2 linked regions of the Saccharomyces cerevisiae S288C genome follow. The gene in region 1 interacts genetically with each later gene. Each region holds a gene or a part of one and is shown on either strand. Other genes may lie near its edges. The genes, in order: FPT1 and EGH1.

The links.
Region 2: mutations in FPT1 (region 1) and EGH1 together harm fitness more than expected from each alone (negative genetic interaction), as found in Saccharomyces cerevisiae (one large-scale study listed by BioGRID).

Annotation. Positions count from the first base shown.
Region 1 is NC_001143.9:460,905-464,544, forward strand, and holds FPT1 (chromatin-associated RNAPIII regulator FPT1), read right to left. Parts: upstream 1,793-3,640; coding exon 731-1,792; downstream 1-730. Other genes in the region: TOF2 (Tof2p), read right to left, coding at 1-335; PRY2 (sterol-binding protein), read left to right, coding at 3,055-3,640.
Region 2 is NC_001141.2:368,974-373,699, forward strand, and holds EGH1 (hydrolase), read left to right. Parts: upstream 1-1,730; coding exon 1,731-4,025; downstream 4,026-4,726. Other genes in the region: actin cytoskeleton-regulatory complex protein PAN1, read right to left, coding at 1-935; DNA primase subunit PRI1, read right to left, coding at 4,104-4,726. UniProt on the Saccharomyces cerevisiae protein: Ergosteryl beta-glucosidase involved in the ergosteryl beta-glucoside (EG) catabolic pathway and vacuole formation via hydrolysis of EG to generate glucose.

The sequences.
Region 1 (3,640 bases):
TTTGGATAAAGTCTATCAAATTTAGTTAAAATTTCATTAGATAGTTGTAAAAGGGTATTGTCACCGTCCGTAAAATGTAAAAACTTTTTACAATTCGGGAGGTAGTTAATGAAATCACTACTACGATTCGACTGAATAGAATTTTGCGAAGACGGGCTCGTAGGAGAGGGGTCGCTACAGTTATTGATACTGTTGTTGTGCGTAATTATATCTTCATTATACTGGACCATAGGAGACACTGATTGTGGAGTATTCAAGCGTGCTTCGAGAAATGTGATAATATCTTGAGCACTTGGCGGCACCAGTACAATCTGTAACCTCCACATTTTTATCATTTACTTATTTGAACCAAACACCAAGGAGGGCAAAGGATATTATAAGAAATGTGGCAAAAGATTGGCGTATTTATTGAATGCTTGTATAATTGGGTAGCTAACCAAAAATGACTTGTTTTCCTTCTTCAGCGAAACTAATAAATAAACAAACAAACAAATTAGGACCATCTTGCATTTGAGATCTGAAGAATATGAAAAAAATTATATAACAGTATCGTATAATGCGACTTTTTTTCGTGATGCCTATGTAACAATAGTAGAGAAAAAACAGGTCACATTTCTATAAATGATTGAATAATTGGTTCTATATACGTACATACTTTTGGAGTTTTACTTTTATTCTCTTGATTTAATGGATGTAGATGCTATAAAAAGACATGTTTTCCCGGAAATAGTTAAAATGATATTTTGCCATTTTTATGCGGATGATGGCTATTAGGAGGGTTTTTAGTGATTTTTTTTTTTTCCACAAGCTGAAATTTTCGAGGTCTTTGTCTCGACCAGGCTCTCAAGTCAAAAGTTTCATAGTCTTCGGCCATCAATTTAAAATAGCTTTCAAAATTTGACTTGATCAGATCGTTTGTAGCACTTGAATGCATGAAATTCACGTTTGGTTTAGACTCAGGACCTTTATAGATGTAGTCTGTCGAGACAGCCTCATCATCGGTACTCAAAGATGAAGGAGACAGCGAATTTACCGGAGAAAAATGTCTTGATTCGCTTTCCAGAGATGCGGAAGGCTCATTGTTTGAGCACGATGCCAAACTATTTTCCTTAAGATTTTGTTCCTGGATGTTATACTTTTTCTTCATCGAGTTATGATAATTTTTTAAAGTTGTTGTCAAAAGTCGCTTATTCGATAAAACTTTGGTCTTTATGATAGCAATAGAAACAATATTTTTGAAGTTATCGAAAACCTCCATGTTGAACTGTTCCTGTTTTTTCTTTTGTTTGGCAATGCTTTGACATATTTTATCATATTGAGACCAAAATTGTTCAACGTTTAGTTTTGAGAGATCTCTATTCATTTTTTCTAGACAATTTTGTAACCAGGCCCGTTTATCATAATTTTTAAATCGTTGATCATTCTGGAAAACCTCCTTCCAGGAAGTGTTCTTAACCACGTTAGCGTCGTTATCCACGTACAACAAGGCAGACAACTTATTTAATTGCCAACGACCATCAGATTTCCAAATGAAAAAGGTGTCACTTATTTCTTCATATTCGAGAATGTAGAAATGGGGAATACAATTCGGCTTCAAATATGCGGGTGCACAATCTATCTTCAAATTTTCTGTTATGGTCTCAGAAGTTTGCAACTCAATCCCGTACAATTCTTGAATAGAATGCACGAACTTGATAACCTGAGTTAAAGTGAGACCTTCCTTAATACAGGTCAATTTAACACGTGGTTGTTCTTCACCAGCGTATAAGTAAACGGTTTCTAACTTGGACATGGTTTCCTTTCTTTGTACTTGGTATTTCTTCTTCTTTTTCTAGCTGTCTGTATGAGTACTTAACTGTAACAGAATAGTAATGGGTTCAGGCTAAATCTCTTTAATTATGGCACCTTTATGCTGATATAAATCCCTATACATTTCTTAGGGGTGTGTTTTGGTTTTTGGTCTCATAGTTTTGACAGCACGTTGGAACGCCACTCATGCCTTAAAAGGCCGGGTAATGATTTATAGTCCAATTATATCACAGCACTACAAGACGTCAAAAATTCACGGCGGCAAAAGGTCTGTAACTACCTAAACATTAAAAGCCTTTGAGCTATAAATCATTATGTACACTGAGAATGCCACATGCTAAAACAAGGAAGTTTTCAGCGAAGTAGCACATTAACTGACCACTCAATAGAAAGAAAACAGAAAGTGGAATGGATGGCCACTTTCATGTTATCAGTGGTGATTACTTGATGACAAAATAACGCTATTCGAGAGCGAGCTATAATTCTTGACCAACTGGCTCGACCTTCTTCGTCATACTGTAGATCAAAATTCTACCATTACTGGATTCTTTTTTTTTTTTTTTTTTTTTTGGGCTAGCTATGAACGTTTCCTAGTCCCGCTCACGCATTCTAGTTCTGCATTGGGTAAAAGAAAGCATATCATTAAGCGGCAGTTTCGGGTCGTTCTAGCCTCGAGCAAAACGAAGCTCAGCTCGCCTCTTTCACTATCATCCTGTGCTCACGTCCATGCGCATTCTTGGCAATTCTGCAGAGATCTCTCATCTGGGTCTTAGCGGTTCTCCGCACCCTGGCGATGTGCTTCGAGAACGTCTTTGTTCATCACATAGACTGCACTGCACTGCGCCATCATCTCGATCGATCGCGAGACTTTCGCGGCGACATTCGCGAAATGCCAAATGAAATCGAGCCGGCCTCGTGAAAAGGTGTAAAAAAAGAAAACGCATCACTGAAATGGACCCCGTTATGAAACGAATGAGAGATCTGCCCATAGATCATCTTTCCTATAGCGGGAATAAACATGTGTGCTATTTACAGTACATTTCGTGTATCTCACGCACTTCTCTATATGTAATGTTTTTGAAACATAGACGTCGTTCAAAGGCAATGCTTTTGATCTTTGTATATATATATGCTTGTCGCAGAGTGTTACATATTGCTGTGATGGATCTGTTGGCTCTTGGTATCATCGTTCCTCGAAACAGCCCATCATAAAACAATACCATTCCTTTAATAAAACTTACAAAGATGAAATTTTCTAAAGTCTCACTACTGGCCGCATCTGCATCTGTCGCTTTATCTGCCCCAGTTGCTGTGACTGTCACGCAACATGTCCACCAAGCTGCCACTGTAGTGGTACAAGGTATAGTTCGTGTAGAAAATGGCCAGACTCTAACGACGTTCATTACCAAGGGCACTCAAACGGCTTCTGCTAGTCCCGTTGCCACAACATCAGCTCCTATTGTGGTTGCTAATGCTCAAGTGGACAGCATAGCTACTTCCGTTATCCAAGAAAGCGCTGTCGTGGCTGAATCTGCAACATTTGAAGAATCCTCTACAGAAACATCTGAAGCATTTTCTACAGCAACTGCAACCATACAAGCGGTGCAAACCTCCGCAAGTGCCACACAGGATGATGTAACCACAACTTTAACATCTTCAACACAACCTACCAGCACAACTACTCCAACAACCACTACCACTAGCCCAACCACTACCACTAGCCCAACTACTACCGCTAGTCCAACTACTACTGCTAGCCCAACCACCGCTACCACCACTCAATCTACCGCCTCAAGCACTCAATCCTCAAGCTCCGATTTCTCAACGTCAA
Region 2 (4,726 bases), on another chromosome or scaffold:
CAAATTCTTGCGAGTTGAGAAGGTGGCAAACCGGATCTCATCAAAATTTTCCTACAATTAGCACCGGAAACAGTATTCGAACCATTGGTAACAATTGATCTGAATAGAGTCTCAAATTTTGCCTGATCTTGGGCAGTAATAAACGACAATCTAATGGCAGGGATTTTGATATCATTGTTTAGACCGTTGTTGGCAAATGAGTTGACAAAGCCAGTTGCGGTGGGCTTTAATGGTTCTAAGGGAGCTTGGTTTTGCGGTTGAAGGTAAAATCCTGTTTGCTGCGGCTTCAAAGGTTGCAAGGACTGTGCTTGCTGAGGAGGTGGCACCTGTTGAGGTTGAGATTGATAATAACCAGTGCCCTGGGCCTGAAGGGGCTGCTGGGTTTGATTAGAAGAGATCAAATTGGGTGTAGACACATAATATCCTGTCCCTTGAGATTGCAAAGGTTGTACTGAGTGTACATTTGCAGTATTAGCAGCTTGGTAATAGCCTGTTCCTTGGGGTTGTATGGATTGTAGCTGAGGCTGTTGAGCCGGATTAGGTGGAGGCATGGTGCCAGTAGTATTCATCATAGGCATACTGGAATTTGGTACGTATCCCGTATGCTGCGGTTTCGCCTGCTGTTGTTGCTGCTGGGGTTGTTGGCCAAAATTACCATTACCATATACACTACCATTATTTCCATTATTATTGTAACCCGTTTGGGGCTGCTGTGGCATACTTGAGAAAGAATTACCAAAACTTTGAGGCATCCCACCAATTCCGGTAGCCTGAGGCTGGTTAAACGCCATTTGCTGTTGTGGTTGAGGCTGGCCTTGGGGCTGGTTTGAAGACTGACCTTGCTGCTGCTGCGGGTAGAATCCATTTGGTTGTTGCTGCTGTTGCTGCTGTTGCTGCTGGTAACCCATGCCCTGTTGCTGGTACGGGTTATACATATTCAGTTGTACAGATTAGCAATTTCGCGTCGCTGATAGATTCTTCCTCTTCCTGCTTCTCGACGTGTGTTTCGCCAATAGATCTATATGGCTTTCTAATGCTTTTTTTCTTCCAATACCAACTTTTGCCCCTAACAAGAAAAAAATATCGTCGACGTGTCATGTGATCAAGCCAATTTATAATAACAAGCGATTGATAAACAGAGTATACATAGCTACTATGCGACTGAGAGATCAATCGGTTATCGTGAGCACCTACCTTTAAGGTTTAACAGATCTGGACGTGATTTTTTTTTTTTTTTTTTGACGAACCAGATTGTCAAATAAACATTGTTAATTGATGAATTTTTAATATCTGCCCAATTGAAGCATAAAAAGCGTCTTAGGAAAGCATTCGTTAAATATCTCTACTGTTGGTAAGCAGGTACTTCAGTAAAAAACCATATTAAACCCAAAATTATCAAATTAGTAGTACATAAGATCGAAGTAGAAAAAATATAGATTATAATCCGATATAGTGTAACGGCTATCACATCACGCTTTCACCGTGGAGACCGGGGTTCGACTCCCCGTATCGGAGTATGTTTATTTTATTTTTTTCATATCCGCTCGAATATTGCCTTCGTTTAAGGTTTCTATATCTCTGGTAAACCTTAACAATGGAATTAATATTAATTCTATATTTCGCAATAATTCTACTGACAGTTATTTTCTTAACCTTTCTTCTCTTTTTTTATTTATTTATTTCTTTTTCTTTCGTACCTAAATTGTTTGAATTTAATAAGAACAGATCATATGCCTGCCAAAATACACATTTCTGCAGACGGTCAGTTTTGCGATAAAGATGGCAACGAGATCCAATTGCGTGGTGTCAATTTGGATCCGTCAGTTAAAATCCCTGCAAAGCCATTCCTATCCACCCACGCTCCCATAGAAAATGACACGTTTTTCGAGGATGCTGATAAAGTCAGTTTCATCAATCACCCCTTAGTTCTTGATGATATCGAACAGCATATCATCAGATTGAAATCACTGGGTTACAATACCATTCGTTTACCCTTCACCTGGGAATCTCTTGAACATGCTGGTCCAGGACAGTACGATTTTGACTATATGGATTATATCGTCGAGGTACTAACCAGGATTAACAGCGTACAACAAGGTATGTACATTTATTTGGACCCTCACCAAGACGTCTGGTCTAGGTTTAGCGGTGGATCTGGAGCACCGCTATGGACCTTATACTGTGCAGGGTTTCAACCTGCAAACTTCCTGGCCACCGATGCTGCAATCTTACATAATTATTATATTGACCCCAAAACGGGCAGGGAAGTTGGCAAAGATGAAGAGTCCTACCCTAAGATGGTTTGGCCTACAAACTACTTCAAACTGGCGTGTCAAACAATGTTTACGTTATTCTTTGGTGGGAAACAATATGCTCCTAAGTGCACAATTAATGGAGAAAACATACAGGATTACTTGCAAGGAAGGTTTAATGATGCAATCATGACACTGTGCGCAAGAATTAAAGAAAAGGCTCCTGAGTTGTTTGAGAGCAACTGCATTATTGGATTAGAGTCTATGAACGAGCCAAACTGTGGTTACATTGGTGAAACAAATCTCGATGTGATTCCGAAAGAGAGAAATTTGAAATTGGGCAAAACGCCAACGGCATTTCAAAGCTTTATGCTGGGTGAAGGTATTGAGTGCACAATAGATCAATATAAAAGGACATTTTTTGGATTTTCTAAGGGAAAACCGTGCACAATCAATCCCAAAGGCAAAAAAGCTTGGCTGAGTGCAGAGGAAAGAGATGCGATAGATGCGAAGTATAATTGGGAAAGGAACCCTGAATGGAAACCAGACACTTGCATTTGGAAACTCCATGGTGTTTGGGAGATTCAGAATGGTAAACGCCCTGTTTTACTCAAACCAAATTACTTTAGCCAACCTGATGCAACGGTATTTATAAACAATCATTTTGTTGACTATTACACTGGAATTTATAACAAGTTTAGGGAATTCGATCAAGAATTGTTTATTATAATCCAACCGCCGGTAATGAAGCCACCACCCAATTTACAAAATTCTAAAATATTGGACAATAGGACGATTTGTGCATGTCATTTTTATGATGGTATGACACTAATGTATAAGACATGGAATAAACGAATTGGCATAGACACCTATGGACTAGTAAACAAAAAATACTCAAATCCTGCCTTTGCTGTAGTGCTTGGCGAAAACAATATACGGAAATGCATTAGGAAGCAATTATCAGAAATGCAAAAGGACGCTAAATCCATGCTTGGAAAAAAAGTACCTGTATTCTTCACCGAAATTGGTATTCCATTTGACATGGACGACAAGAAAGCATATATTACAAATGACTATTCTTCACAGACCGCTGCATTGGATGCTCTTGGATTTGCATTAGAAGGAAGTAATCTTTCGTACACCTTATGGTGTTATTGCAGTATTAATTCACATATATGGGGTGACAATTGGAACAATGAAGATTTTTCGATTTGGTCCCCGGATGACAAACCACTCTATCACGATACCCGAGCAAAAACTCCTACTCCTGAGCCATCTCCAGCCTCTACTGTGGCTTCGGTATCCACTTCTACATCTAAATCGGGTTCTTCACAACCACCAAGTTTCATAAAACCAGATAATCATTTAGATTTGGATAGTCCCTCGTGCACTTTAAAGAGCGACTTGTCAGGGTTCAGAGCTCTTGATGCTATAATGAGACCATTCCCCATACAAATTCACGGAAGATTTGAGTTTGCTGAGTTTAACTTATGTAATAAATCCTACCTTTTGAAATTAGTTGGTAAAACGACACCTGAACAGATAACTGTCCCTACATATATTTTTATACCACGGCACCATTTTACACCAAGCCGGTTGTCAATTCGTTCATCATCAGGTCATTATACCTATAACACTGACTACCAGGTTCTTGAATGGTTTCACGAGCCTGGCCATCAGTTCATTGAAATTTGCGCAAAATCGAAGTCAAGGCCCAACACCCCTGGAAGTGACACTTCGAATGACTTACCAGCGGAATGCGTTATCAGCTAAACAAAAATTGAACCAAAAGCTATAGTAGTCATATATATATATATACACCCTTTTTATTGTTACAAAAAGATTTCACCATCAGAAATCTAAAGAAGCCGGTTCATCATCATCTTCACGTTCTCTTTTCACTGAACCCAGTTCATTTTTCAAAAGAGAACTCACATATGCTTGGAACTGATTGATAAAAGGTTGTAAAGCTGTTAATGAAACATCATTATTTTTCTCCATTTCTGTTTGAAGATCAATTAGCTTAGGTGCTTTTTCAGGTGCAAAGGATTCATCAATAGGCACACAGACATTCCCCGTAGCAGGATGAATACAAAAAGGGGCCTTTAACAAATGAATTGTTTGCTTTGTAACTTCCACATCCAGCTTCGGATAAAGAGTCATCAATACGAGATCTTCCTTACATTCACGTAACTTAATTATGTGAGAGTCTTGCTTGGGGCCTTTGAAGAGCGATGTAGCTATCTGATCTATATCATTCCACTTCTCTTTGCTTGACCTCCTTGGATTGTCCAGCCAATACTTCTTTAATGAATCAATCAATTGTTTATCATATAATGCAGGCAATAAAGTTTGGATAGCATGTTGGTCATCTTCCCAAGGATTTTGCTCTTCGAGCATAATGCTGACAAAGAAAGGTTTCAATTGCTCCAAAGAACGAGCAAGATGAGGGTGATAAGGCCTCTTCAAAGCCA